Linked DNA regions of Macaca fascicularis. The protein of the gene in region 1 purifies or fractionates together with the protein of each later gene. This does not show direct contact. Links are inferred from orthologs where the notes say so. Each region holds a gene or a part of one and is shown on either strand. Other genes may lie near its edges. The genes, in order: ASCC3 and RPS3.

The links.
Region 2: the proteins of ASCC3 (region 1) and RPS3 purify together in Homo sapiens (co-immunoprecipitation; 4 studies listed by BioGRID and IntAct, with this or other methods). This does not show direct contact. The link is inferred for Macaca fascicularis from reciprocal best matches to the Homo sapiens genes ASCC3 and RPS3.

The regions. Positions count from the first base shown.
Region 1 is NC_088378.1:74,430,985-74,446,562, reverse strand, and holds the start of ASCC3 (activating signal cointegrator 1 complex subunit 3), read right to left. Parts: upstream 9,621-15,578; 5' UTR 9,317-9,620; intron 1-9,316. UniProt on the Homo sapiens protein: ATPase involved both in DNA repair and rescue of stalled ribosomes. 3'-5' DNA helicase involved in repair of alkylated DNA: promotes DNA unwinding to generate single-stranded substrate needed for ALKBH3, enabling ALKBH3 to process alkylated N3-methylcytosine (3mC) within double-stranded regions.
Region 2 is NC_088388.1:74,274,619-74,290,124, reverse strand, and holds RPS3 (small ribosomal subunit protein uS3), read right to left. Parts: upstream 7,533-15,506; 5' UTR 7,503-7,532; coding exon 7,473-7,502; intron 6,610-7,472; exon of another isoform or gene 6,462-6,609; intron 6,310-6,461; coding exon 6,179-6,309; intron 5,362-6,178; coding exon 5,268-5,361; intron 4,670-5,267; coding exon 4,575-4,669; intron 3,007-4,574; coding exon 2,819-3,006; intron 2,609-2,818; exon of another isoform or gene 2,463-2,608; intron 2,358-2,462; coding exon 2,164-2,357; 3' UTR 2,161-2,163; intron 1,115-2,160; 3' UTR 1,036-1,114; downstream 1-1,035. UniProt on the Homo sapiens protein: Component of the small ribosomal subunit. The ribosome is a large ribonucleoprotein complex responsible for the synthesis of proteins in the cell. Has endonuclease activity and plays a role in repair of damaged DNA.

The DNA.
Region 1 (15,578 bases):
AGGCTGCAGTGAGCCATGATCGTGCCACCGCACTCAGCCTGGGTGACAGAAATCCATGGCCTGAATTCAGTGCATAGCCTGGTTCCTACCAGCCTTTCTCAACTGGGGTCTGTAAGAGAATACAAGTCTCTTAATGAAAGTAACTTGACTTTTTCTCAGTTCTCCCAAGAATTATACAGAGTATGTATGTACGTTGTACATGTCATCCATAGAGAGGAAGTAAGGTATACAATGGATACCAAAGCATTGGGGTTTTAATTTTCTACCCACACTGAGACACTGCAAAAATGTATTCAAGATGACTAAATTTAGTCAAGTCTTTAAAGAAAGGCCCTGATAGTAAACTAAACATACTCTGCCTCAGAACCTACCTTTTACCACACAAGTTAGTGCTTTCAAAATGTAGCATCAGAACAAGAAACATGATGTATTAATACTGTGCCTCAGGCATGGTATTACAAATTAATGGGGTACTTGGGACCACTACTTTCACCATTTTTATATACATCACAGTAATGTCCTGAATCCTCTGTGCCTTTCTTTTTTCAAAAAAGTAGAAAGCGAGACTCCATTTTTATTCTAACTCACAAACCTAGCAAATCCTAACAAGATAATACACTCAACCTCTAAGAAGAGATCTAATATTAGGATTCGGTAATGAGGTCACATTGTTACAAACTACAGTAACTGAAAACTTTAAAGCTCCCTGAGATCTGAGTAGAAAAACCAAGGGGGGATCATGGCAGACAGGAGGCAGGACTAGACTGCAGCTCCCACTCTTGACAGAGCAGTGTGTGGAGTCTTGCATCGTAAACTCTTGCTCCAGAGCGACAGCAGGAATAAATCAGGAAAGCCAAGAGAACCCACAGACCTTCTGAAGAAAGCAGATTGCTCCTGCAGGACCCAGGATACACTCCAAATACTGTGCTGGCATCCATGACTGAGACCCACAGATGGTTTACATCACAGGACTCTGTGCAGACAACCCCCAGTACCAGCCCAAAGCCTGGTAGACCTGCCGAGTGGCTAAATCCAGAAGAGAGATAACAATCATTACAGCTTGGCTCTCAGGAAGCCACATCGCTAGGAAAAGGGGGATAATACTACATCAAGGGAACACCCTGTGGGACAAAATAATCTGAACAACAGCCTTGAGTCCTATACCTTCCCTCTGATAGACCCTACCCAAATGAGAAGAACCAGAAAATGAACACTGGTAATATGACAAAACATGGTTCTTTAACAGTCCCCAACCAAAAAAATCACACTAGCTCACCAACAATGGATCCAAACCAAGAAGAAATCCCTGATTTACCTGAAAAAGAATTCAGAAGGTGAGTTATTAAGCTAATCAAGGAGGCATCAGAGAAAGGCAAAGCCCAATTTATAGAAAAAAAAAAGAAACAAGAAATGAAGGGAGAAATCTTCAGTGATATAGACAGCATAAATAAGAAACAAAGCTTCAGGAAACAATGGATACATTTATAGAAATGCAAAATGCTCTGGAAAGTCTCAGCAACAGAACTGAACATGCAGATCTTCAGAGCTCAAAGACAAGGTTTTGTAATTAACCCAATCCAACAAAGGCAAATAAAAAAGAATAAGAAAATATGAACAAATCCCCCAAGAGGTATGGGATTACATTAAATTACCAAACCTAAGAATAATCAGCGTTCCTGAGGAAGAAGAGAAATCTAAAAGTCTGGAAAACATATTTGGGGGAATAATCGAAGAAAATTTCCCCAGCCTTGCTAGAGACCTAGACATCCAAATACAAGAAGCTCAAAGAACACCTGGGAAATGCATCACAAAAAGATCATCGCCGGCCGGGCGCGGTGGCTCAAGCCTGTAATCCCAGCCCTTTGGGAGGCCGAGACGGGTGAATCACGAGGTCAGGAGATCGAGACCATCCTGGTTAATACGGTGAAACCCTGTCTCTACTAAAAATACAAAAAACTAGCCGAGCGAGGTGGCGGGCGCCTGTAGTCCCAGCTACTTGGGAGGCTGAGGCAGGAGAATGGCGTGAACCCGGGAGGCGGAGCTTGCAGTGAGCTGAGATCCGGCCACTGCACTCCAGCCTGGGCGACAGAGCGAGACTCCGTCTCAAAAAAAAAAAAAAAAAAAAAGATCATCGCCTAGGCATACTGTCATCAGGTTATCTAAAGTTAAGATGAAGGAAAGAATCTTATGAGCTGTGAGGCAAAAGCACCAGGTAACCTATAAAGGAAAACCTATCACATTAACGGCAGATTTCTCAGCGGAAACCCTACAAGCTAGAAGGGACTGGAGCCCTATCTTCAGCCTCCTTAAACAAAACAATTATCAGCCAAGAATTTTGTATCCAGCAAAACTAAGCTTCGTAAACGAAGGGAAGGTACAGTCTTTTTCAAGCAAACAAATGCTGAGAACTTGCCACTACCAAGCCAGCACTACAAAAACTGCTAAAAAGAGCTCTAAATCTTGAAACAAATCCTGGAAACACATCAAATAAAGCTCCCGGAGATCTTATCAAAATAATCAGCATGAATTATGCTTGTCAAGGGAATGAAGCAAAGCACATTACCAGATTTGCTATTTTTATTTGATGTGTTTTCTTCCCGAGGTTGAATGACCAACACTAAAAATGTAACAGTTCATTAGCTCATTGTTACCTATAAACCATTCATACACAAATATTTGAGTTTCTCCTATCTACTAGGATCTGGGCTAGGCACTGGATGTTAATAAAGTTTACAGTTCCTCAAAACACATTGTATTTTGTACCAGGAAAAAGATTCCCTTTAAGTTGTATTTGAAATGTATAAAGGTCAAATTCAGAAAACAAATTTTAAATCTTATGTTATTCATTTACTCAGCAAATATGTATAGATCACCCACCATATATTAGATATTTTATGAGGCTCTAGAGATTAAAAAAAGAAAAACATTTTGATATGATTGCACTTGCCCTCAATGATGAGTTTACAGTATGGTTAGGAAGAAAGAAAAATAGTTGCAATAATTATGCAGCTATAACTGTAGGAAGACAGGGAAGGAGCATCTAAAGGGGTAGGAGGGCACTAGATATAAAGGAAGGAAGCTGAGCTTGAGCTGAGACTTAAAGGACCTAGACAAGGTTATTACAAGGGGTAAACTATGAGGGGGAAAGCCAAAATAACAGACTCAATTACTTTTAAAACCCCTACAGAATGTGCATTTGGAAACTGATGAAATAAGACCTAAAGATGTAAGCAGAGACCAAACAACATGTCTCAAATTAAGCACTTTTCATTCTGATAATCAGAATCACTGAAAAAATATTAACATGTTATAGAAAAATTACTCAGATTTACATGTGGTGAACTGTCAAGGTGGGGTCAAACAGGACATAGACAAACCAGTTGGAAAGGTTTTCAATAAACCAAGTGAAAGATAAAGAGGATAGAATTAAGCCAGGGAAATGCATAAAAGGATGGATTTAGGAGATCAGTATACTTGGAAGACAGAATCAATGTGGAATAGGATTTAAAGAAGGAGAAAGCAGCAGGACACTCAAATTTCTGGCTTAGGAAATGCTGAAGAGTGGAGGACTCTATTATGTATAGAGGGCATCAGGAAGAGGAATGATAATTCTGTTTTGGAAAACTTTAATTATGGGCTATCAAGTGGGATATATGGTTTTGGATTTTGTATCAGAGGTCTGGGGTGGAAATCCAGAATTTCATGTTATCACTTCATCACAGTTAAAACCATGGATGAACATAATATTCGTTTAAGTCAAATATACATAAGCCCATGGACCCTCTTCCTAAGAAAACAGACATATATACATATAAACAACATTTTATACTCCATTTCAAAAGCTGCATGAATGCCCATTAATGCACTCTACTCCTAAAGGCCTCTTGGAAGTAGACAGTAGAGAATTAAGAACAGAGTTCTAAGAAAGTGATCCACAAATTGGTAGTCATATGGAAAGAGTGATATGACAAGAGAAAAGAAAGTTTCAAATGACATGATACAGTCCACTGTACTCAGCAACTCTGAGGTCCCAGATGACTAGCACACCTAGTTTCCAAAAATGGTAGAAGGTAAATCTCAGTGAATTAAAGGATAAATGCAAAGGGAGAAAATGGGGGGGAAAAAAAAAGAAAAAAAAAATCTACAAATTGGTATATGCTATTCTTTCAAGAAATTAAGAAAGAAAAGGAGAAAAAGTAAGAAATACTGAAATAGTGTGGTTTAAGAGTTTCTGAAAATACAGGATAGAGTTGATCATGATTCTGTCATAATCAGGGGAGAACAAAGACAGAAGGAAAAGTTGAGCAATCAGGAGAAAGACCATGACTGATGGAGTTAGGGTCTCTGAGAATACAGGCGAGAATGACAACAGAAGCACAGGTCTAGAGAGACTTGGATAGATAAGTATGGAAGGAAAGATGAGTGGAAGTGAATATAGTTATAACATGGTTAAGCAGAGGGTGAAGGAGGAGAGAAAAACAGGGTAAAAGGGAGTTCCACCAAAATGACTCCTATTTTATTTGAGATATGCTGAGACTGTTCAAACAGGTGATGAGATGGGATTTTTTCTATTACAGAGGCAAAAGTCTGAACTTACCACCCACAATAACAGAAGAAATCTTTTTCAGGTAGCAATGAATGTTCAGCTCATACTGCAAACAAAAGGTGGCAATAATCTGGCATAGGAACAAAGGTTGGTGTGAACCAGGGTTAAGGTTTTATAACACAGGGGTTGTGGGACAATGAAGCCTAAATGATGAGGGTTGTTAAGTGCTTAACTTTAGGCCTAGATGAAAGGAAAAGATGTTCAACTAGGAGGTCTTAAAGACAAATCATAACATTCATAGTTAAAATTTCTGGTAAGATCACAGTGAATAAGTATTAAGAAAAACTGGCCTGCATATCAATGTTTACCTTACTAATTTTTACTCCACAATTAATATGGTCCACTAAATGATAAATACATAAATGAAAAATTCTGTTAATAATAAATACTTAATGCCCCATAACAAATATAATTTCTAAAGGATTGAAACCCTAAAAGCCTATTTTTGTTAGAAGTACTGGCTGTGGCTATCTGAACAAATCTTTAAATTGTTAATTAAACGAAAGTACAGATAAAAAGAAAGTCTTGAAAATGTAACTGCCCTTTTTTACATTCCAAATAAGGAGAAAACTAATCTAATGGTAGCATATTTCCTTTTGGGAGATGATATTAACCAATAATTAGTGAGCTAGAATCCCAATACACACTATTCTGAAGTACTACATATAAAAATTGTAACATTTATTCTTCTTAAACCAAACCTGTGTTTCTTAACTCTAAATGGTCTAATTGCTTGATAGCAACTTTAGGAAAATACAGTTACTGTATTTTTTCATTATAAACAAATGAGAAAATCTCCAAAACAGTCAAACTATATTTCCTAATAAGTTCAGTCAACAATTAGTTACTGACAATTATGGATACTAGGGAATTATTAAAGGGACAAAAATAGTCAAAGTGATACAGTGCAGATTAAGGGATAAAACCACTGACATGAAGGAGCAGGTTGTAAATGGAGTAAAATTAGAATTTAAGATTTCAATACTTAAAATACAATCTTGTACCCACAAACCGACACCTTGAAAAAATGAACAGTGAATAAAGATTAAATAAACAGTGAATAAGAATATTTATATTTTTAAAAAATTAAGTTGTGATATTGTTAATATTAGCAAGATCAGAACTCAGAAAATAGCCACCATCGACACATATATACAATCCTCCATTATGCCGTTTCAAAAGGGGTTGATTTTTCATGGTAAATCCTAAAGATAATTTTAACCTTTTATCTCTTACTTGTATTAAACCTTATTACCATCAATTGGTTCATACAGCAGAGTCTAAGCACATTTTACTTTCTTTAATCTACCAAACACTGTAGGCCAAAAAAAGGAAGGTAGAGTCAGACAAAAACAATAATTACTAGAGATTCTGCTTACATTTCAGGTATTGAATACCTGCTCTAGAGTGAACGGCGGATGGGCAACAAGAATCTTGCTCTTTCAGTCTGTTTTAATCACCACATGCATCTCAAAATGTGAGCATCTTGCTGCATTGCATGACTCTAGTTTTTAATACTTTTTCTCTTTTTTTAAAAAACATACAAGGTGGTGACCAAACACAGACCAACTTTTTCACTGGGAGTTCATCTAAAGAAACTGTGATACATTCCAAGTCAGGATGAAAAACACAGCTGTGTAGGACGTGCTGAGAGACAGCATGTTATGCCAACCTGATGTCCTCTTAAGGGATTCTCAAAGGTAATCTTCGCTATTCACAGTTTCCACCTAACAAGTTCACTTTAGATGCTAACTCATTCTTAAGCAAGAAGCAATTGCTCTTGAATAGTTCCCAATCAAGTTAGGAAACACATCTGAAGCATGTAGAATAGAGAAAGCATGACCAAAATAATAAAATACATAAACACTTTTCACACAATACAAAATATAAAATAGTTAAAAACAAAATTTAAAACAAAATGGGGCTCTTATTCTCTAACTTATCCTCTAACTAGGTTTCCCACCCAAAGGTGGGGGAAAAAAAATCCTGGACAGGCTTATAACTATAAAGCAGATTAGCCTTTATATTCAGAATATTCCCCCCAAAGTTGTGTTAATTTTACTTTTAGCACAGGATAAGGAAGGCTTTTCCTTTAAATGTCCCTGGGAAAACAAAAAAATATTTTAGCACCAGATAAGGCAAGCATAGTCAAAAATTCCAGAACATCCCACAAAGATGAAACAAGCACACCCATTACTCTCAAGAAAACATGGAACAGACCCAGCACATATTAGGCAGTATATATTACAACTCTTTGCACAAAAGAAAAGGTCCAGTGGAAAAGGGCCTAGCACAGATTATGTCTGAAAGACAAATTCTCATTCCACCCTAATCCATAAGCCTCTGGAAGGCAGACTCAAGGAATTTACACCTGCCCTCTTGTGAGAGTGGAAAAAACTCAAATTGTTTTTCCTCTGCTCTCACACCACAACTATCAACACAGAAGATGTCTGTGGCAAAATGTGTATGAGTTTCTCCCTACGCACCAAGCAAGCAATCATTTCTGCAGCAGACATTAGATAGGTGTTCTCTAATTCATTTCTGACACTATCTAGAGATACTGTCATATCCCACAGAATGAAGGCCCAGTCCCACAAGACTGCCCACCACTTCTGATGCCAATTACAAGTTCCAGACTTTTTTATCTGTACTTCTGACTGGCCAGCTATAAATTGGGGATTACATGACCCTCTCCTTGGGTTCGGTTAATTTGCTAGAGTGGTTCACAGAACTCAGGGAAACACGTTTACCAACTTATTATAAAGGATATTACAAAGGATACAGATGAAGAGATACATAGGATAGGGTAATTTAAAAGGGAAGGGAATTTCCATGCAGAACTTCCAAGTACTTCCTAGGCATACCACCTCAAGGACTCTCCACATGTTCAGCTTTCAGAAGCTCTCTGAACCCTGTCATTTTGAGTTTTTATGGAGGCTTCACTACATAGGCATAATTGATTAAACCCTTTGGCCACTGGTGATCAACTTAATCTTCAGCCCCTCTCTCACCTCCCTAAGCAGTTAGGGGGTAGGGATGAAAGTCCCAACCTTCTAATAATTCCTTGATCTTTCTGGTAACCAGCTCCCATCCTGAAGCTACTAGGGGCAGCCAGCTAGCAAAGACAAAATTCTTAGTCTATTTATTAGCACACAAAAAGGCAAAATGGGGCCTGTAATCCCAGCACTTTGGGAGGCCGATACAGGGAGATTGCTTGAGCCCAGGCGTTCCAGAGATACACAGGAGATCAATCAGACCAATGTGAAGACTGGAAAGCAACTGATTTCTATCTCAAAAGAAAAAGCTTTTTATTTATTTATTTTGAGGTAGAAACTGAGGTAGAACTGTTAACTTTATATTTAAACCAGCTGTGCAAAAGAAAAACTTACTCTTCTGAACTGGCAAACCACTGGTACATATACTATCTTTTTGATCAAAGGCAATATCAAATCATGCTGTTAAAGCAAGATCATCTGCTCCTCTTTCAATGCCAGTTATATATATACATTGACAATAACTTTTTCTTTTAAAAGCTTTGGTTTGGTCAACTACACATCCATGGTATGAGAAAGAACCCTAGTCAAGATTCTCTCTTTAAGGAGGCTGCTGGATTATAGAAAGTTCATGAGCACAGAGATTGTCTCTCTCTTGCTCTCCTAGGTCTGGCCCAGCGTTTGACACATAGGAAGACTTGAATGAATGAATGAATGACAAAAAACTGTTAAGGAGGGATCAAGAAAGCTGAACCCATGAAAAATTAATTTACTCATATAAGTAAGATTATTTAGCCTAAGCTTAACAGCATCTTTAAGGATCATTTTTCTCATGCAAAACTATTATAACCATCATTAAACAAAAGAGACGACAAAAACTGGAGCACGATCCATGGTAAAACCAAAAGCTGAATTCTCAACTTTTGAGAACTCTGAGAATCAGAAAAAGGATTTCAATCTATGAAACATAAAATCTGGTGAGGAGAAAATGGCTATCAGTCTAACCTAACTTAGGGAAAGAAAGAAAACGTAACTATGAGTTTGAATGCACAAGTGACAACACATCTAACTTTTACCAAACCCTAGAATTATGCTTCTTTTAAACCAAAGAATAGCAAATACCATTAGCACACTGCATTCCACGGATAATTTATGATAAGAAACCTATTTGAAATAACTGCCCATTACTCACAAAACCTCCCTAGCACCCACATACACATTTATTTATTTCAAAATGACATTCTAGGCTCCTTGATTGCGAAATTCACCCACAATCCACCACGGTCAGCTACCTATTTACTTTTCAGTGTGTTGGAGGAAAAATACGAGGAAGATTTCTTTTTCAAAATCTACGTGAAAAAAAAACTTAGTTACCAAGGCTTTGTAACAGAAAAAAAGAAAGAAAACAAATTACCCATGCATGGGACAGGAAAAAACACCTCATCTGGTCACGTTGTGGCTTAATACCTAGACAATACGTGGCTTAGGTTAAGTTTTCTATCCCCTATCCCACCTACAAACTCTAGGAATGGGCGGTATTGTTGCGAGACCCCGGACTCGACCTCAAACCACCGAAAAGGATGACAGGTCTGGACTTGCCCCAGAGGTAGGAAGAGAATCTCTCGGCGGGTCGCGTAGCCAGCCCCGCCGTCCCCGCCTCCAGTCAGCTCCCCTGGCCGCGGCGACCCTTCTCGTCCTCCCACCTCCACCTCCTCACCTCTCGGCCCGGCTCACGCGTTTCCCTTCACTCCGTCAGCTCCTGCCACCGCGCCTCCTTCCCTTTCGGTTTTACTTTAACTTCCCACGCCGGGTGAGGTGCTGAGGGCAGGGCCAAAGATGCGGGCGGGCAGCTGTACCGCCGCGCCCTGTCAGCCCTCCACGCCGCGCTTGCCGGGGTCGCGCCCAGTCACAGGGAACTGCGTGCGAGGATCATCAGCCAGACAGACAGACCCACGGACCCGGCGAGGAGGGACAGAGTGGAGCGGGCGCCGGCCTACACGTCACCGCCCCGCTGCAGCGCCAACGTCGGCACGTCGACTCGTCGATTCCCGGCCCTCCGCGCCGCCCGCGTGCGCGCGTCGCCCCGCCTCCCGCCTCCAGCCTCTAGTAGGCTGGGCTCGGAGGAGCAGATGCGGAAGGTCCCGGCGGCGGCGAGGATGAGTCGCCAGGCCCAGGCGGGAGCGGCCCTGAACGGTGTGCTTTACCCTGGTTGCTCGCGCCGGGCCAGGCCTGCCATCTCGACCTCTCTGTGAGTTTTTCCCCTGCATTTACTTCAGGCTGCCGCCCTTCTCCATAAGGTAAATATGTGGAGGAAATAATTCCTATTAAAGGTAAAGGAAAAGAGAGCAATTTGAATGAAGAAACAGGTAGTTGTTATCGTCGTCTTCAGCCGAAGCTCTCTGGCTACTGGAAGTATACATGGTTCTCTGGTGTCAAGGCCTGTTTTCCATAAGCTTTCTGGATTCTCAGCTTAGTTCCCTCAAAGTGATCTCTGCAAGTCGGTCCTTGGGTCAGAAGACCTCCTCCAAAAACAGAAAGCCCGAAGATTCCCTAACTCGATTGAAAAGATAGGAAGATACGAAGAAAAACTAACCTAAAGAACTATGTGGTTTATCTGCAAAGAGTTCTAGACTAAAAGCCAACAATGCAACGATAGTATGAGTGAATGTGTTTGTTGTGGCTCTCCTCTGCCATTCCCGCTTCCTCATAAGGTAATGTGCCCCGATGCCTGGTAGAACTGTTTTGTAGAGGCAGCCAATAGTGATCCAGTTATTCTCTTTAATGGTCAGACCACCTCTGAAGTGCTGTGTTCAGCATTTGAAGAAGACCTCAATCAAGATGGCATTCTATCAGGGAAGAGCAAAATGATGAAGAGAACTCAAAAACAGGGCAAGTGAAGAAGTGTTGATTAAACCTTCCAGGACTCAGTTAGAAGAGTGAAAACTACTGGACTCTCTCCAAATATGAAGTGACCTGTCATGTGAAGTTGATTTGTTTCATGTGATGCAAACTTCAGGGAACAGATTTAAGATCCTGAAAAGAAGATGCCCTTGTAGCACGACCCAAAAAGAATTTCCTACCTTAGCATGTGTAAATACTTCAACAACAGAATTTTGCTTCAGGGAGATTCTGAAGCTCACTTAATAGGGACTTGGTACAGGGGAGCCACACATCAACAGAAGAATTAGTTGATGGCTTTGTTAAAGCTATTTCCAATCTTGAGATTGCATGTGTCTTTGGTCCTGGACTTCATAGAATTTACAAGTTAGTTCATGAGAGAAGACAAATGCATCACAAAAATAAATAATGCAAGGAGGCCACTTGATAATGAGAGGTGCTGATAAGTGCTAGGAATTCACATGGCAGATTATTCTCATCACAGTTCCAGAGGCTTAAGGGAGAAGAGAAGAATCGAAAATACACTACCTAGAACTGCGCTATCCATTAGGGTAGCCACCAGCTAAATATGTCTGTTGACATTTGAAATGTGGCTTGTCCAAATTGAGACATGCAATGAGTTCAAAATGTACACCAGATTTCAAAGACTTAGAAAAGAAATGTAAAATATTGTAATTCTTACGTCGATTACGTGTTGAAATTATATATAATGGATCAAATAAAATATGTTAAAATTAATTTCAACTTTATTTTTACTTTTTATGTGACTTCTAGAAAATTTTAAATTACATAGGTGGGCTTGCATCATATTTCTATTAAATAGTCCTAGCCTGGAAGGAAATTCAGTTAGCCCTCTGTATCCATGACTTCTGTATATGTCTCAACCAACTTTGGAACAAAAACAATTAGAAAATAAAAAAGAAGAAGAATGGTTATGTCTGCACTGAACATGCATAGACTCTTTTTTTTCTTGTCATTATTTCCTAAACAATATGGGTATAACAACTGTTTACATAGCACTTCCCATTATATTAGATATTATAAGTAACCTAGACATGGTTTAAAGTATATGGGACAATGTGCATGGGTTATATGTAAATACTATGCCATTTTGTATAAGGACTTGAGCATCCTGGGGTTTTGGTATGTGGGAGTGTCCTGGAACCAATTCCCTGTGGACACTGAGGCATGGCCTTACTTCACTGAACTCTTAAGAACTATTTTTGTCCTCTTTATAGTCCCCGGGGTTTCCTCAATTTTTTTTTTTTCAAGAGATGGGGTCTTGCTGTATTGCACAAGCTGAAGTGCACTGGCTATTCACAAGCACGATCATTGTGCACAACAGCCCTGAACTCCTGGGCTCAATGATTCTTCTGCTTCACCCAGGCAGCTAGGACTACAGGTACATGCCATCAAGCTCAGCTTCCCCAAATGTTAGTGGAAAGACAGCCTAAGGAGAATGGGCCCTGATGACAAAGAGACTGTCCAGAAAGTATGCCATGAGCAAAGCCAAGAAACAAGACTATAACTGCATTCTAGATAATAAGTAACCTATTTATCTGTAATGGAACATTGTTAATAGAAGCTAGTGACAAAGCTAAAATGTAAACAAACTATAAGGAGACACAATTTTAAATTTAAAGAATTGAGTATAATAGGCAGTCAGTGTTTGGCGGTCACAAAATGGAATTGGGAGATTATTTTGGCAATATTGGGTAGGGTGGGTTGAAAGTAGTGCATGGCTGGGAAACCAATTAAAACTCATTGCAGTGGGCTAGGCGCGGTGGCTAACACCTGTAATCCCAGTGCTTTGGGAAGCTGAGGCAGGAGGATCACTTAAAGCCAGAAGTTCAAAAGCAGCCTGGGCAACGTAGGAAGACCCCCATCTCTACAAAAAATAGAAAAAAAAATAGCCAGACTTGATGGTACACACCTGTAGTCTTAGTTACTAAGGAGACTGAATTGGGAGGCTCTCTTGAGGCCAGGAGTTTGAGGCTACACTGAGCTATGATCATGCCATTTAGCTCAAGCCTGGGCAACAGAGCAAGACCCCATCTCTAATTGAAAAACGAAACAAAACTCCACATTTCATTTATAAATGTATCATATGGCCGGGTGTGGTGGCTCACAGCTGTAATCCCAGCACTTTGGGAGGCTGAAGCAGGTGAATTGCTTGAGCCCAGGAGTTTGAGACTAGCCTGTGCAACATGACAAAACCCTTTCTCTACAAAAAAAAAAATATATATATATATACACACACACACACACACACACACACACATATATATATATATATATACACACATATATATATATATGAAAACTAGCTGGGTGTGGTGGCATGCACCTGTAGTCCCAGCTGCTCAGGAGGCTAAGGCAGGAGGATCACTTGAGCTGGGAGGTCGAGGCTATAGTGAGCCATGATCACACCCCCGTACTGTAGCCTAGGTAACAGAGTGAAACACTGTCTTTAAAAAAAAAAAAAGTATCATACCAAAAAAAGGCTCAATATTGGATTGATTTAAATTAAATTGTAATACATCTCTAAATTTCGAGGCATTAAAAAAGCATAATGTGAATCTGTATTGCTTGATACGTAATATGTCTAAGATGTACAGTTGAATGAAATAGCTTGCAACACAATCTATACATAATATGAACACATTTAGGTAAAATTATATAAGTTTGTGTGTGTTTTATGTATATGTGTAACATGATCATTCTGCAAAGAGTGCCTTTAGTTATCTCAAAATTGTCTCAAGAACAGAAAATTTCAAGGTGGAAGTGTTTCCAAGCTATTTTTTGTAGCTCAACAAAATTATTCACGCTTTTGACTTTTTTCATTTCTATGTTTCATTATCTTTAGTATGTTAGCCTTTCATTCTCAGACTTGTCACTTCGTGGGTTGAGGGGATGGGCTGCCAAGTTTCAGAACCATTTCCAGCCCATCAGTCTCTGGGTACCTCCTTCAGGATGTGTGTCCACTAGGTCTGCCTAGCTCACCAGTGTGCCGTAGCCTCAGCTTCTAGGCCTTTCTTGTTGTATCTATTGTCAGTCAGTTCTTCCCTGCCCTTTTTCACCCCACCTCATCCTGCAACACCGAGTCTTAATATTCCATCTTTACTGCACTCCAGTGCAGTTCCTTCTCTGAAGCTGATGCTTAACCTTTGGGGAATGCTGATTAATAAAAGACTCAATTCTAAAATGTTTTCCTACTCTTTTAAATAAGTGATATTAGAAAAGAAAAAAGTTAGATTACTACCATGGCAGACACTGTTGTTTGCCTCCTCAACCACAATTTCTTCCCTCTTTCTTAACTAATGAGGTGATTTTTTTAAAGTACCAAACAACTCAAAAAATGTGAGCTTCTCCCAAAGTAATTTCATTTCCCTTTGAATAAGAATGTTGTAGAGGTGGTCATGTGGGCAAAGGGACAATCAGCTTTGGAGAATCCTGCACTATGTTTTACCCAGGTTTCAAAATATATGCTTACAATATATAAACGATTTTCTTGAATTACTGTTCAAGATGGTGAACTCAGCATATCATTTGCCTACTATCCTTTCCTACACAGTACAGAAATAAAAATGAAGAAACAGAAAAAATGAAGAATAAGTAAAGGAGTAAAGATGATGTGTGCCTGTATGCATGCACTTATGTGAGTAGAAAAAAGTAGATGATGTCAAGAAAAGCAAATGAAATTTCAAAAATATCTTGGGATACAAAGCAAATAGTAGTGATTTGACCAAAACCATAGCCTAAAAAATATAGTGGAGAAGCTACACAGGATAGGACAGAAGTAAGAATAAGGGCTGAAAATGGGGATAAAATATGGCACAATTGAATCTATCACCACACACATTTCCCTTTCTCATCCATATACACTGAGAGGAAGCAAAAGATATTAATATCTGCATCCAGATAAAAACAAAGACCAAAAATGACCCCCCAAATCTTCTCCAAATTAATTGAATAAATAGTACAGAAAAGTGAAAACTTTTAGGTTGATGACGCAGAGGAAAAACATTCTCATTCTAGCATTCAGGGCCAGCATCCTGAGAACAAGCTAATTGCTTACTCATCTAAAGTGAAACTTCATATTTGGCATTCCTGGCCCTGTCCTACCTAACCCAGCCACATATTCACAATTCCTACACAAGAGAGAGAGAGAACTGTCAGACCTCTTACCTACAAAAGGAAAAGGAAAACTGTATCAACTACCAATTATATATGTATACACACATATATATGAACAATTAAGAATTAACAGGCAAATAAGGAAAATGAGCATCATGAGAGAAAAATACAAAGAAAAACATAGAAAAACTAACTCTAAAGAAGGCAAGGAAGCATAAATAAAAGATTTTAAAGGAGCACCCCAATTAATATGGAATTCAGAACATATTATAGCTACAAGATATGAACAAGATACTCTGAAAAAGGAGCAACGATAGAGCAAAAAGAGCTACCAGACATTAAAAATATGTTAACTTAAAAACTCAAGAGAAGTACTGGAGATTAAATCAAAGAAGTCTTGTAAGAATATAGTATACATAGCAGAGAGAAAATAAGAAAGAAAACATAAGAATGTCATGGAGAGCCAACCCAATAGGCTTAACATTCAACCAGTAGATGAGAAAGATTTAAAAAAAAAAAAAAAAAAGGCAGAGGGAGTGAGAAAAGTATAAGATTTTTTTAGAGCAAAGAAGAAAACTTTTCAGATTTGAGTAGACTTGGGGTATTGAAAAATAGATTTAAAAAGACTCATGCCTGGAGACATTATCATGTAATACCACAGATAAAAATTATGAGGAAGAATTCCCCAAAGTTCCTAAACACAAAAGACATATTATCAACAAAGGAATAGGGACAGGTGCTATCAGCATCACTGCATATCTGAAGATAATGACAGAATATTTCAAAATTGTAATTGTAGATGTTTTGCAGTCTACAAGTCTATACTCATTCAAATTATCAGTTAACTGTGAGAGTAAAATGAAGATATTTTCAGACTAACAAGGATGTAGAATATTTTTCTCCTGGGTGATCTTTTGGAAACTCACTAGGCCATATAATCCAAC
Region 2 (15,506 bases), on another chromosome or scaffold:
TGATTATTTTTGATCCAAAGTTGGTTGAATCCAGATGCAAAACCCTTGGACAGAGGGCTATCACTATAGAAGTGTACACTTAAATTGTTAAGATGACCCATTTATGAGTCAGAAAGGGAAGGGGGCAGATAACTTGTGAGTGTGCGCCCTACATAATTACCTCAAATATTAAGCCCTTACCATGTGCAGCTCAGTCTAATTGAGAAGACAACCAAATAATCACAGCATCTGCTAAGCGGTCTATGGAGCCAGGGTTATCTCACCCGCCAGGCTGCATCACCAGGAAGCAGCCACCGGATTTGGCCTTCCAGGACTATAATAGCTGTCCCTGGAATTCCCCTCTGTGATCAACCAGACTGTGATTTATCATCAGTCTTGTATGATTTTCAAGCCAACCTGTCCCTCACTAGTTTTGCCTGAGAAAATAGTGCCCAATTTCTGGTAAAATACACACTGGCAGAAAATACTTCAAAATACTGACAGATAAAATCAGAGACAATTTAAATGTTCTTTACAGGTCTCTAGAACATAATGGCCTGTAGTACCAATGACTGGTTCCATGATCCCCTAAGAGAACACAACTTAGGAATGTGGATTCTAATGATAGCTTTATACTGCTTAGGCAAATTTACTTCTGAATCTTAAGTTCAGTGGCACAAGCAAATTTCCTTTACACTTTAGAGAGGTTGATTAACGAGTACATATGTAAAGAATACTTAGAGCACAGCATGACACAAAATATAATGACCATTTATGTTCACTTTCTATATGCAACGTGGATCGCCTTATGCATAGGAAAAACTCAAATACAGCCCTCTTCTAAACCTATAACCCTGAACTACAGGACAACGAATCAAGGTGCTGCCTTGCTTGCTATCAGTCTTCACTATCACACAAAGATCTCTCTGGTTGGCTCTGCTTGGGTCTTACAGTTCTGGCCCTTGCAAATACTTCAAGTATGGTACCAAGAAGATATGTAATGCTCCAGAGGCCAACGTGCCCCTCAGTCTGAATACTAAACAGTCTATTCAGGCCTTGTGTCTTTGTACCAGATTTTATTAAAGATCTTTACAGAGCAACATCCAGACTCCAGAATACAGCTGCCAAGGAGACCCTGAAACCAAATAAAGCACAAAAGTAAGAAATTTTACCAGAGTTATTAAGTTCCTTATTTACCAAATGGATACACACTCCCATTGAGGGTTTGCAGCAACATTAACAAAATATATAAGGGTTTGTCCTTTTTTATATATAAAAAAAAATACAAGGCGGCCGGGCGTGGTGGCTCAAGCCTGTAATCCCAGCACTTTGGGAGGCCGAGAGGGGCGGATCACGAGGTGAGGAGCTCGAGACCATCCTGGCTAACACAGTGAAACCCCGTCTCTACTAAAAAATACAAAAAATTAGCCGGGCGAGGTGGCGGGCACCTGTAGTCCCAGCTGCTCGGGAGGCTGAGGCAGGAGAATGGCGTAAACCCGGGAGGCGGAGCTTGCAGTGAGCTGAGATCCAGCCACTGCACTCCAGCCCCTGCGACACAGCGAGACTCCGTCTCAAAAAAAAAAAAAAAATACAAGGCACCTAGAGACACAACACCTACAAACAAAAAAACCCCAGGTGTTGACCATAGCTGCTGAGCACAGTGGTTCACCTGAGGTCAGGAGTTCGAGACCAGCCTGGCCAACATGGTGAAATCCTGTCTCTACTAAAAATACAAAAATTAGCTGGGCTTGGTGGCAGATGCCTATAATTCCAGCTACTCGGGAGGCTGAGACAGGAGAATTGCTTGAACCCGGGAGGCAGAGGCTGCAGTGAGCCAATATCGTGCCACTGCACTTTAGCCTGGGTGACAGAACAAGACTATGTCTCAAAAAAAAAAAAAAAAAAAAAAATCTTGAGCAAATAAGGGAAGATAAGGGAAAACTATTTCATTTCATACACACGAGTGAAAGCAGGAACTTCTGAAAATAAAGGCAAACACCTGTCCCAATGGAACTGAGGGTTAAATAGACCCCAGGTTTCAACTTGTATTCTCCCACATAAAGTAAATAAATGCAATTTTTATTCACCAAATGCTTACCAGAATGTGGGATACAAGTATTAACAGAAAGACTAGGAAGGACCCTATTCTGCCCCAAGAGGCCCCTGCCCCTGCAGACATACCTGTTATGCTGTGGGGACTGGCTGGGGCATGGCAGGCGGCTCTGGCTTCCCACCCTTCTGTTCTGAGATGGGAGTGGTAGGCAGTATTTCATCTTTGGGTTCCACGATGCTCACATGGTCAGGCAGGGGCTTCTTAGGGCCAATCTTACCAGTTGGGTCCCAGGGCAGCATGATCTTCACCTTGATGCCCAGCACACCTAGAGGACACCACAGTTGTTAGCACACAGCTGGGATCTCACCGGCCCCCATCACACAACACCAAAGAGAGCAAGCAGTTTACTCAAGCACTCCTGGGTCTGGTCCCTTCTCAGACAAATGCCTCTAAATCAATCAATGAATAGGACACTTCTGCAGAAGGAACTCACGCACAGCACCACAGAACATGGTACTGACAAGGACCAAGAGCAGGAGGTGACCTTTCTGACTCGTCATCATGTCATCACTGAAGGGTACACAGATGGCTAAAAAAGACAAACCAACTCTTGGATCTGACAGGTCTCAGCAATTTGATTCTTACAGATCAATGTGGTAATCGATATGCCAAGGAATATGAACATACCCAGCTGCTTCCATGATAAACTCCCCCAAATTTTTAGATGTCTGTGGAAAACCAAATCTATCCACAAATGCCCTTTGACAAGCACTCTCAGCTGCTCACCTTGTCTGAGCAACACATGGCGCACAGCAGTGTCAACGTAGTAGTTAACAGGGTCTCCGCTGTGGATCATCAGGCCATCCACAAACTTCATGGATTTAGCCCTCTGTCCTCGGAGTTTCCCAGACACCACGACCTCGCAGCCTTTGGCCCCGCTCTCCATGATGAACCGCAGCACACCATAGCAGGCCCTTTAGAAGAAAAGAAGAGATCTACTTGTGTTATTATCAAGGACCTCCACCAAGTTTAAAAAACAAAACAAAAACTTAGTATTCAATGTTCCTTTAATGGAGAATAAATTTGACCAGAATCTGGCCCCAATGATACCAATTCTCTTCCACACCTATCACACGGAATCTTAGGGTAATATTCATCAAGTATGTCAAGCTCCTAAACATGTACTTTCCAACTCTGGCTGCATACTGGGATCACCTCGGAAGGCTAAAATAAAACACAAAAGAAACGCTGATGTCTAGGCCCTACTCTAAGCCAATTAAATGGGCAAAGTACAGGCACATGTATTTAAAAATGCTCCCTGGGTGATTCTCACGTATAATCAAAATTGAGAACCACATTTTTAAACTCCAATTACCCACTTTGTGGTCCCTTGTAATACTCTGCAACCTCCGAAGTCTCATTCACTAGGAAAGCTAACCCACCTAGGATCCTGGCTACCTTGCTATTAGAATGCTGATAAAACATTTTAAAATATGCCCTACCCCCCAACTCATTCAGTAGTTTACACTCTGCGACATACTAACTGGAGAGCTAGCCACCTCCAGGCCCTTTCACATTATCTTACTTAATATTCTACAACTAAGAGGTGGTATGATGGTTCACCTTAGAAGATAGTAGATCCCAGGCTCAGAAGTACATTAACTTGCTTCAATGTGTGCAACTAGCATGTGGAGGGGTTACTAAGACAGACTGCTGAGTCACACATCCAGTTTCCTATTTGGTGGGTCTAGGACTGGCACTAATCTTCTGAGAACCATTGTTCTAAGCGCCTAGCGGGCACTCGAACCAGGTAAGCAGTCTTTTCTAGGTCCTTACCTACGGCCTTGTCTACACTACCCATCCCTACCAGTCAACCTTCCTACAGCACAGTTTTCCTATCATTCCTCTAGGCAAGGCATTTCAATGCCTTTACATACAGTCTAACTGCACAAAGAACTTCCTGTTGAAATCTTACCAGTACACCCTCACATTACTATCTGCATGCAACTCAGAGGTTAAGTGTCTAGATTTTAAGCTCTCTCGCATCAGGTCTATCTTATCTCTTCAGAGTACCATTTTAAGAGTGAACACATTAAGTAGATCCAAATGATTCCTACTGAAGTTTCATGGTATCCCACAAGTACTAAGGCACTTCTACCTAGGGATACATAACACACACCCAGTAACAGGCCTAATTATTCTTCATTGCCCACCGCACTCCCCGACAGGGCTCTTTGTAAAGCCTCCTCGCGAAGACCAACAGGAGTTGGTCCCCTCCTTGGACAGTTCTATTTGTGTTGAACTCCCAAAGCACCCAGAACACTTCTCCATTACAGTACTGACCACCCTTTATGGTTCTTGCTGCTTTCATAGTCTTGCTAGTCTGCCAATTCAGTGAGGGCATGGTTTAGTATCTTACTATAATCCTGGGAGACTAGCAGATCCTGTCACTTTATAACAGTTCATCTGCTAATCAACAAACAGGAGACATATATTTTGATACACACAAAAGGTCATGACCATTAGGTCTCAGGACACTTACCTCCGCACAGCAAGCCCTCCTAGGAGTTTGTAACGCAGAGACTCTGCCTGGGCAATGGCACACAGACCTCTAGTGGCCACCTTTTCAGCATAAAGCTTTAAAGGAAGGAAGGGACATCCTGTTACCATCACCACTGTTTTCAACTGAAAGTTGAAAATTTGGCATGTCACACAAGCATCACTTTCTAGACCAAGCTTGCCCAACCCAGAGGCCGCATGCTGCCCAGGAGATGGCTTTGATTGTGGCCCAACAAAAATTGAACATCGTGATTTTTTGCACTACCAGTAGCGTGGCCCAAGATAATTCTTCCAACGTGGCCTACGGAGGCCAAAAGACTGCACAACACCATCACAAACAGCATATAATTTCAGTATCCCTCAATTCCTAAAGCACTTCTACCACCTACACACAGTGCAGGTTCCTTGCCCTCCCACCCTGGCTCCTTTGGCCATACCAAGTACACCAATGGGGATAGTCAATCCATCATATGCATCATTTCTATACCCAAGTTGAATGTAAAATCCTTTAACTATCAGCCATTAGCAGAACAGGCTTACAAAGTTAAGCCCATTATTCATTAAGAGAATTTCAACAAAGTTGTATCAGTCCATTTGTAATGAACAAAGTCTCCCAGTTTTTAGAAGTTATCATTCTGAAGAGCCATTATCTCTGGCATACGCCAGAATCACTCACCTCTACACTGCCCTCTGGAAAGCCAAACCTCTTCTGAACTACAGCAGTCAGTTCCCGAATCCGCCGGCCCTTCTCACCAAGAACATTCTGTGTTCTGGGCGGGGAAAAAGTGACAATTCATGACTCTCACAAATGCTAGATTTAACTTTAAATCTTGCATATATATGTGGTAGCAAAATCTCTGCCACAAAGCATATAATTTTCATTGACAAAAACTAAAGTTAAATTTTCAAAATGCAGCTTTTTTTGAGACAGGGTCTCTCTCTGTCACCCAGGCTGGATCACACCAATGGCTCACTGCAGCCTGGACCTCTTGGGCTCAAGCCATCGCCTGCTTCAGCCTCTGGAATAGCTGGGACCACAGGTATGCACCACCACACCCTTATCTTTTTTAGAGAGGGGGTTTCCGCATGTTGCCCAGGCTGGTCTTGAACTCCTGAGCTCAAGCGATCCTATGCCTGGCCTTAAAATCCAGCTTTTAAGAAGCAATTACATTCACTAAGCCCAGACTCACTGGCTGTCTATCCCCTTAAGTTCACAAAGGACAAACCAGCCAGGCGCGGTGGCTCACGTCTGTAATCCCAGCACTTCAGGAGGCCGAGGTGGGCGGATCACGAGGTCAGGAAATCGAGACCATCCTGGCTGACAGGGTGAAACCCTTTCTCTACTAAAAATACAAAAAATTAGCCGGGCATGGTGGTTGGCCCCTGTAGTCCCAGCTACTCAGGAGGCTGAGGCAGGAGAATGGCAGGAAGCTGGGAGGCGGAGCTTGCAGTGAGCAGAGATCTCACCACTGCACTCCAGCCTTGGGGACAGAGCAAGACTCTGTCTCACAAAAAAAAAAAAAAAAGGAATAAACCAACTTAGCATTTACAACAATTATAGGTGATGGCCAGTCAAGTGAGTTTTACCTGGTGGCTAAGATAATGATTTCTGTCCTGGTTGGTGTAACTCGCACCTCAACTCCAGAGTAGCCATCTTCAGCCAGCTCCCGAGTAAGAAACTCATTCAGTTCAGCTTTGAAGATGCCATCAGCGACAAACTAATCCAAAAAAAGCGAAGTTCAAAATTAGGACATCGGTGTAGGCTCACTTTCGCCTGAGCCAGTGTCTTATTAGTCAATGCATCCCTCCCCAAAACTAAATACCTCCAACCAATGGTTCCAAACCCTTGTTCCAACAGGAGTGCAGCAACCCTTCTCAGACAAATGCCTCTAGGTCATCTTTAGGAAGTTACTTCAACCAGGGCCCTTTAAACTGTGCCACAGAATGCAGCACAGAGTAGGCAACCTGGGCGAAGGCAACACCCCCAAGTCAGACTCGTCATCATCTCTTCATCGAAGGGTTTAAAACAGTTCCACATGCAAAACAAGAAACTGCTCTAAAATAGCCTATTTACACTTCACTCAGCACAGCAAAGACACTGTACTTGTCACTGTGAAGGAACAGAATAGATAGTGGACTTAACATACGCTCTCTCACTTGCAGACACAACCTGGACCGTCTAAAGAATCCCAGCCATGTTATCTGGCCTTACGGTACCTGTGGTTTTAACTGTAAACAGAGCTGGAAAATCCTAACTCACAAGAGTTGTGGATTTAATTTTAACATCGAAGTGTAGGTATACGAAATGACAAACTGTCTATTTTTAAAGCTAATGATTTTTACACAGTTCTTTCCCATGGAATAACAAAGCGTTAAATCCGAGGCAGCTTCCTCCCGGGGTCCTCAGACGGAGCAAGCAATCGTCAGTAACCCTTCATGTTGAGGTCGTGGGACCAGCAGACTGTACCCAGACTCGACCAGTAAGAAGACAAGTATACACTGCTGCCTCCCCTTCCCAAAACCATGGGATAAGACATGAGGGAAATGACACACGCCCTCAAAATGCCACGTTTACTAATTCCATTGACCAAAAAATGCTCACAAACGCCTTCTCCGGGACAGAAGGGGCGCCTGGTCCCCATCTCTCTGCGCTTCACTCGGAACCAGAGAAAAACCTGTCTCTCCCTTACCCGGCCACACAGCGCCCGCCTGGCTCGGGCCTCTCACTCAATCCACCGCCATCCGCGGCCCGTGGGAATGCCAGGAGGCCTAAGCCGCTTCCCAGGGCAGGGCACGGAGCTGCAGGCCTCGCGGTGGCACCCGAGAAGCCCCTGACCCTCGCGGCGCAGTCGTTCCCCGAACCCAGTCCCCAGAGGCTCACCTTCCTCTTCTTGGAAATTTGCACGGCCATCTTGCCGCCGCGCTCCGCCGAAAGAAAAAGAAGTGGCGGGCGGGCGGAAGTGAGTATAAAGGGCGCAAGCGACGACGCAGGGCTGCGCTACGTGGACGCCTATGGGTGCTCATGGGAAATGTAGTTTTTACGTAAAGAAGGCGTCAAGGGAAGGAAGAGTGTAGGCAGGAACAGCAAAGGGGGTTCGACCAGCAGGACTGCTAGACTTCAGAGGATCTTAGAGTTCAATTCGCTTTTTTTTTTTTTTTTTGAGACGGAGTCTTGCTCTGTCGCCCAGGCTGGAGTGCAGTGGCCGGATCTCAGCTCACTGCAAGCTCCGCCTCCCGGGTTCACGCCATTCTCCTGCCTCAGCCTTCGGAGTAGCTGGGACTACAGGCGCCCGCCACCTCACCCGGCTAGTTTTTTGTATTTTTTAATAGAGACAGGGTTTCACCGTGTTAGCCAGGATGGTCTCGATTTCCCGACCTCGTGATCCGCTTGTCTCGGCCTCCCAAAGTGCTGGGATTACAGGCTTGAGCCACCGCGCCCGGCCGCGAGTTCAATTCTCATAGTTTAAAAACAAGCAATGCGAGGTGCAGAGGTGGAAATTACAGGTATAAGTTCACACAGCAACAGAGTTTAACCAGCGTGGAACTCTGGCCCCTACAGTTTCAGGGTGGACATTGTAATGAAAATCTGCTGAAATCCCTCAGTGAAATTCATTTAAGACTCCTCTTTGGGAGGCCAAGGCGGGCGGATTACTTGAGGTCAGGAGTTAAAGACTAGCCTGGCGAACATGGTGAAACCCCGTCTCTACTAAAAATAGAAAAAGTAGCTGGGCGTGGTGGCAGGCACCTGTAATCCCAGCTACTCAGGAGGCTGAGGTGGGAGGATTGCTTGGACCCGGGAGGTGGAGGTTGCAGTGGGCGGAGATCCCACCACTGCACTCTAGCCTGGGCGACAGAGTGAGGCTCTGTCTCAAAAAAAAAAAAAAAAAAAAAGAATGTCCCCCAGTCTGTGCCCATTTCCTCCATTCCAAATGATAATAAAACCTGATATTTACTAAGTGTCCTAGGGACTGTGTTCTGTGCCCTTTATGTTGTTTTCATTTACTCCACCTTACTTTCATCAAGTCCATTACAATTTGTAACAGAAGTCCCAGAGAGTGGCTCGTGTGCCCGCCCGCCCTCCCTCTCTTCCTTCCTTCCTTCCTTCCTTCCTTCCTTCCTTCCTTCCTTCCTTCCTTCCCTCCTTCCTTCCCTCCTTCCCTCCTTCTCTCTCTTTCTCTCCTTTCTTTCTTTTCTCTCCCGTTGCCCAAGCTGGAGCGCAGTAGTACGATCTCAGCTCCCTGCAACCTCCACCTCCCAGGTTCAAGCGATTCTTCTGCCTTGGCCTCCTGAGTAGCTGGGATTACAGGTGCACACCACCAAACCCGGCTAATTTTTGTATTTTTAGTAGAAATGAAGTTTCACCACGTTGGCCAGGCTGGTCTTGAACTCCTGACCTGAAGTGATCCACCTGCCTCACCCTCCCAGAGTGCTGGGATTACAGGCATGAGCCAATGCGCCCGGCCTTCTTTTTCAATTAAAAAAAAATTCTAGCCAGGTGCAGTGGCTCAGGCTTGTAATCCCAGCACTTTGGGAGGCCAAGGCAAGTGGATTGCTTGAGGCCAGAAGTTTGAAACCAACCTGGGCAACAGAATGAGACACTCTCATCTCTACAAAAAGTGAAAAAAGAAAATTAGCCGGGTGTGGTGGTGTGTGCCTGTAGTCCCAGCTACTCTGGAGGCAGAGGTGAGAGGACTGCTTGAGCACAGGAAGTCTAGGCTGCAGTGAACCGCGATTGTGCCACTGCACTCAGCCCGGACAGCAGAGTGAGACTCAGTCTAAAAAAAAAAAAAAATTTAAATGTCTGTTCATTTTATTATGAAGCTTACAGAACAGTTGGAAAAACTGTACATGTATGCATTACCAAGCTGAGGGGGAATTGAGAATGATGCTACAACTAATATTTTGCTGTTGCTTTATCATATATCTACTCATCCCTGTAGCCACCCACCAATATATCTTTTGAGGCATTTCAAAGTAAGTTGCAGACATTGGTAAACTTTACCCCTAAACACTTCAATAACAGTTTTAAGTTTGAATAGTTTTCTTCACGTAAAAGTCAGGGTATTTCTCTCTAAAACTATTTCAGGTTTTTCTTAAGAATATAGAAAGATCGCCGGGCGCGGTGGCTCACGCCTGTAATCCCAGCACTTTGGGAGGCTGAGGTGGGCGGATCACAAGGTCAGGAGATGGAGACCATCCGGGTTAACTCGATGAAACCCCGTCTCTACTAAAAATACAAAAAAAAAAAAAAAAAAAAAAAAAAAAAAAAAAAAAAAAAAAAAAAAAAAATTAGCCGGGTGTGGTGGCGGGCACCTATAGTCCCAGCTACTCGGGAGGCTGAGGCAGGATAATGGCATGAACCCGGGAGGCGGAGGCTGCAGTGAGGTGAGATGGCGCCACTGCGCTCCAGCCTGGGTGACAGAGCGAGACTCCATCTCAAAAAAAAAAAAAAAAAAAGAATATAGAAATATCGCCGGGCGCGGTGGCTCACGCCTGTAATCCCAGCACTTTGGGAGGCCGAGGCGGGCGGATCACAAGGTCAGGAGATCGAGACCACGGTGAAACCCCGTCTCTACTAAAAATACAAAAAATTAGCCGGGCGCGGTTGTGGGCGCCTGTAGTCCCAGCTACTCGGGAGGCTGAGGCAGGAGAATGGCGTGAACCCGGGAGGCGGAGCTTGCAGTGAGCCGAGATCGCGCCACTGCACTCCAGCCTGGGCGACAGAGCGAGACTCCGTCTCAAAAAAAAAAAAAAAAAAAAAAAAAAAAAGAATATAGAAATATCTAGCAAAATAGTGAACCCACATTTCTTCATGGGCAGTGCTCTCCTTCCCCGTTATACCAAAAGAGGCTTTCCAATGTGCCACACTCCCTGGCAGCATCACTCAGTTATTTTCTGGTCCTAGAAGCCATTGGAGTGTTTAACTCCAGCACTAAAACAACTCTGATGTAAAGTGACCTGTCCTATAATCATGGAATTAACAGAGTTCTACAGGAGCTGAGCAGAGGGACCAGGGAAGACGACAAAAAGTGGCTGGGTGCGTTGGCTCACGCCTGTAATCCCAGCACTTTGGGAGGCTGAGGTGGGTGGATCACCTGAGGTCATGAGTTTGAGACCAGCCTGGCCAACATAGTGAAACCCCATCTCTACTAAAAATACAAAAATTAGCCAAGTGTGGTGGTGCATGCCTGTAATCCCAGCTACTTGGGAGGCTGAGGCATGAGAATCTCTTGAACCCGGGAGGTGGAATTGCAGTAAGCCATGGTCAAAACCACTGCCCTCCAGCCTGGGTGACAGAGTGAGACTCTATCAAAAAGAAAAGAAAAGAAAAAAGAAAAGAAAAGAAAAGAAAAGAGAAGTGGACGAACCAAAGAACCAAAGAGATGGTAGCTGTGGATCTATCTTTTTTTTTTTTTTTTAGGAAAAAGTTTCCCTCTGTCGCCCAGGCTGGAGTGCAGTAGCGCAATCTCAACTCACTGCAACCTCTGCCTCCCGAGTTCAAGCGATTCTCCTGCCTCAACCTCCCGAGTAGGTGGGATTACAGGCACGCACCACCACCAGCTAATTTTTGTGGTTTTAGTAGAGACAGGGTCTCACTATGTTGGCCAGGCTGGTCTCGAACTCCTGGCCTCAGATGATCCACCCGCCTCGGCCTCCCAAAGTGCTGGGATTACAGACATGAACCACTGCACCCAGCAGATGCCCTAGTTTCTGACTTCAGTCGTGAATGCTTGGCGACAACCCTTACCGAGATGAGGAACCTAGGAATAGGTTGTTTTTCTTCCCACTGCCCCCCCAACCCCGCTCCCCGTCCATCTGTTCTCTCTCTCTGCTCTTCATGCGCCTCTTCATCCAGCTCCTTGGTCTGTCTATAGAGTGGTGCCAGGTTGCTGAAAACGTGAGCCTGGTAAATCCACCTGCCTGACTTCCCTATGTCTTCACTAGAGATGTGGGCGCTGAAGGAGAGCACCCGCCGTTGTGTGCTGGGATGAGAGTAAAATCACAGCAGGCTCCTAGACCCTCTCAGTGAATCACTTCTATTTCCTCATTCCCATATGCCTCACATTCTCCCACAGTCCCTATTATAATATTTGACAAAGCTTTAACCCCAGAACCTCCTCACTTTCAGAAGTCAACCTCCCTCCTAGCCCCTTGGCCCCCTAATAGATTGTATAGCCAGAAACTGCCTCCTGCCCATCCTATAATCCTGTGTATTCCTGGCTATCCTTACCTCCTTCCTTCCCAGCTTAGGAAAGAGACCATCTTTCTTCCCAAGGCCAGCCTTCCCATTGTGTTCTGGTCCCAGTTTAGTTCTGTTTCCTTGAGACCTTGCTCTAGCAATCATTCTCCCCCTTGCTCATGGTCATCTCGCTTCATACTGACTCTTTCCTTTCCCTGCTGCCCGCATGTTAAACACACCACTTCTTCAGGGTTGTGCCTCCTCTCATTGCTTCAGTAGTGTTCTGTGCATCCCCTCCTGTAACACTCATCTCACTGGGTTGGAATGGTCTATGTGTTTCTCTCAGTAGACTGTAGGTTCTGTAAGAGCCTGGACTGAACCTATTTTATTCATTCTATTCAGAGCTTGGATCTGGACAGGCTCAGGCCCAGTGTCAGTCAAAGTTTGAAGAGCAAACAAATAAATGCATGGATTCTAGTTTTTAGATAATTCCTTGTAGCACGGAACTAATATGAATTTGCCTGCACATGCTGTATCTTATCTGGGATGTTCAGAAAACCAAATTCTGGAGGCTCAAAGCTGAGGATCAGACAGTGGCAAGTTCTCTGAGGTAAATGCCACCTCTTGATGATGTGGTAGCTCATCTGCTGCCCTTCCCCAGGGATGCCAGGAGGCTGCCTGCCTGAGTGTCACCCCCCAGTCCCAGGAGAACGTCCATGAAGGAAGCCTTTGTCTTGATCATACTGCCCTTCCTCTGTCTAAGACTATTATAAGAAAAAGGCAATATAGTACTCAATGCTGTGGAAACAATAGTAGTTGTAATACATTGAGTTGTTACTAAGAGCAAGGACAGTGAGAGTGCCTTAATCTCTCCCTGGGTATCCAAAAAGAAAGCAAAACTCTATCTGTTTAGCCCACAGAGTCACAGAATTGTCCCTTGGATTGTGAAGAGAGGACTGTGAGTGTCTGAGAAACATATGGCTTTGTGGCCACACTTGGGCCATGCATGGGCCCTTGGAGCGTCACAAAGGACTTTCCTGAAATTCCTGAAAACCAAAGGTGAGATTTGCCCTGGTCAAATGAATACAGCCCACAGTTTCTGGGAACAGTTTGAAAACAGTAGAACCTCATAGAAAGCATTGAATTTACCTGAATTTACCTGAATCCAAAGGCTAGGCACGGTGGCTCACGCCTGTAATCCCAGCACTTTGGGAGGCCAAGGCAGATCACTTGAGGCCAGGAGTTTGAGACCAGCCTGGCCAACATGGTGAGACCCCCATCTCTACTAAAAATACAAAAATTATTTGGGCATGGTGGCAGGCCTATAGTCCCAGCTACTCAGGAGGCTGAGGCACAAGACTCGCTGGAGCCCAGGAGGTAGAGGTTGCACTGAGCCAAGATTGTGCCACTGCACTCCAACCTGGGCAACAGAGTGAGACTGTCTCAGGAAAAAAAAAAGAGAGAGAGAGAGAGAGAGAAAGAAAGAAAGAAAGAAGAAAGAAAGAAAGAAAGAAAAGAAAGAAAGAAAGAAAGAAAGAAAGAAAGAAAGAAAGAAAGAAAGAAAGAAAGAAAGAAAGAAAGAAAGAAAAGAAAGAGGAAGAAAAACTTACCTGAATCCCACTTGAGGAGCTTGACAGAGAGAGAACTGAAGTTGTGGGAATAAGGGTGGGTGTCCCTGCCTTGCTGCTCCAGAGTGGCTCAGAGGGAGGTGGGAGGACAGAGGAGCTTCTTCTGTTCACAGAGAGAGGGTAAATGGGTCTCCACTATGGCACCTGTTAAGGGATTGCTGTTCTAGGGCAATAGCGACCATATTCAGTTGTCACTTACTTTAGAGTCTGACACCCCCAGAGAGACACAATGATGTCATTGGATTCTCAGTGATTTGGTTAAAATAGATCGGTGACTCACTCTGGGCCTCAAATTGAGTCTCTGCATATTCATAGAAGAATGCTGTCAAATAAATTTGAACAGATCTTTTTTCACTGCTTTTGTATCATTGCTTAAAAGACTCACACTTCTGAATACCCCTACTTAAAATAAAAATAAGATTCAGTGTATGGAAGGGTGTGTTAAAACAAGCATCCTCACTCTGTAGGTGAGGTGTGAACTGGTTCTTCCTTTTTGGAGGGCAGCTTGGCAGTATCCACTAAAATTGAAGATGTAGATTCCCTTTGGCCTAGAAAATATATTTCTTTTTATCTACTTCAGAAAAACACTCACACAATGTACATGGGGTGATTGCAAGAATGCTTATTAGAACATTGTTAGTAATAGTGAAAAACTAAATTATAAACAGCCAAAAAGCCCTGCAGTAGGAAAATGGTTGTGGAATATCATGTAATAACTAAAAAAGAAAAAAAAAGAAAGAAAAATTACAGTGGCTCACGCCTGTAATCCCAGCACTTTGGGAGGCCGAGGCGGGCGGATCACGAGGTTAGGAGATCAAGACCATACTGGCTAACACGGTGAAACCACATCTCTACTAAAAATACAAAAAAAAAATAGCCAGGTGTGGCGGCGAGCGCCTGTAGTCCCAGCTACTCCGGAGGCTGAGGCAGGAGAATGGTGTGAAGCCTGGAGGCGGAGCTTGCAATGAGCCGAGATGGCGCCACTGCACTCCAGCCTGGGCAACAGAGCAAGACTCTTTAAAAAAAAAGAAAAGAAAAGAAAAAAAGAAATAGATCTATGTATTTGCACGAAAAAAGCACCAAGTGATACTGCTATGTGAAAAAAAGCAAGTTGCAGAACAATATTACTCTATAATATGTATGTAAAATATAATAAAACATATCTATGCATGTAAATGAATGGAAGGATTTATACTCAACTAACAGAGAACTAAGGTTACCTCTGGGGAATGCAGCAGTATTAGGGGAGGTTAAGGAGCAATTATGGCTTGAATTTTCTTTTCTTTTTTTTTTTTTTTTGTCTGAGACAGAGTCTCGCTCTGTCGCCCAGGCTGGAGTGCAGTGGCGCCATCTTGGCTCGCTGCAAGGTCTGCCTCCCGGGTTCATGCCATTCTCCTGCCTCAGCCTCCCGAGTAGCTGGGACTACAGGCGCCTGCCACCACGCCCGGCTTTTTTTTTTTTTTTTTTTTTTTTTTGTATTTTCAGTAGAGACAGGGTTTCACTGTGTTAGCCAGGACTGTCTCTATCTCCAGACCTCGTGATCCGCCGGTCTTGGCCTTCCAAAGTGCTGGGATTACAGGCTTGAGCCACCGCGCCCGACCGGCTTGACTTTTCTTAAAATATATTGGCTGGGTGCAGTGGCTAACGCCTGTAATCCCTGCACTTGGGGAGGCTGAGGTGAGCAGATTGCTTGAACTCAGGAGTTCCAGACGGGCCTGGGCGAAACTCCATCTCTACAAAAAGATACAAAAATTAGCTGGGCGCGTGGGTCTGCAGTCCCAGCTACTCGGGAGACCGAGGTGGGAGGATGGCTTGAACCTGGGAGGCGGAGGTTGCAGTGAGCCCAGATCGAGCCTCTGCACTCCAGTCTGGGTGACAGAGCGAGACTCTCTCAAAACACAAAAAAGAAAAAAAAAAGTATATTCACGTGTTACTTGTGAAATGAAAACAAAGAAAAAATGTAAGGAAACACGAACATATATGGATTTCTGATAATGTGGCCACTTGTGAAACAATGGGGATGTCTTTGTCTACAACACAAAATGTCATAATCCTTTCCTCTGAAAACTCAGTCTTTTTTTTTTAATTTTTCTTTTCACCTACAACG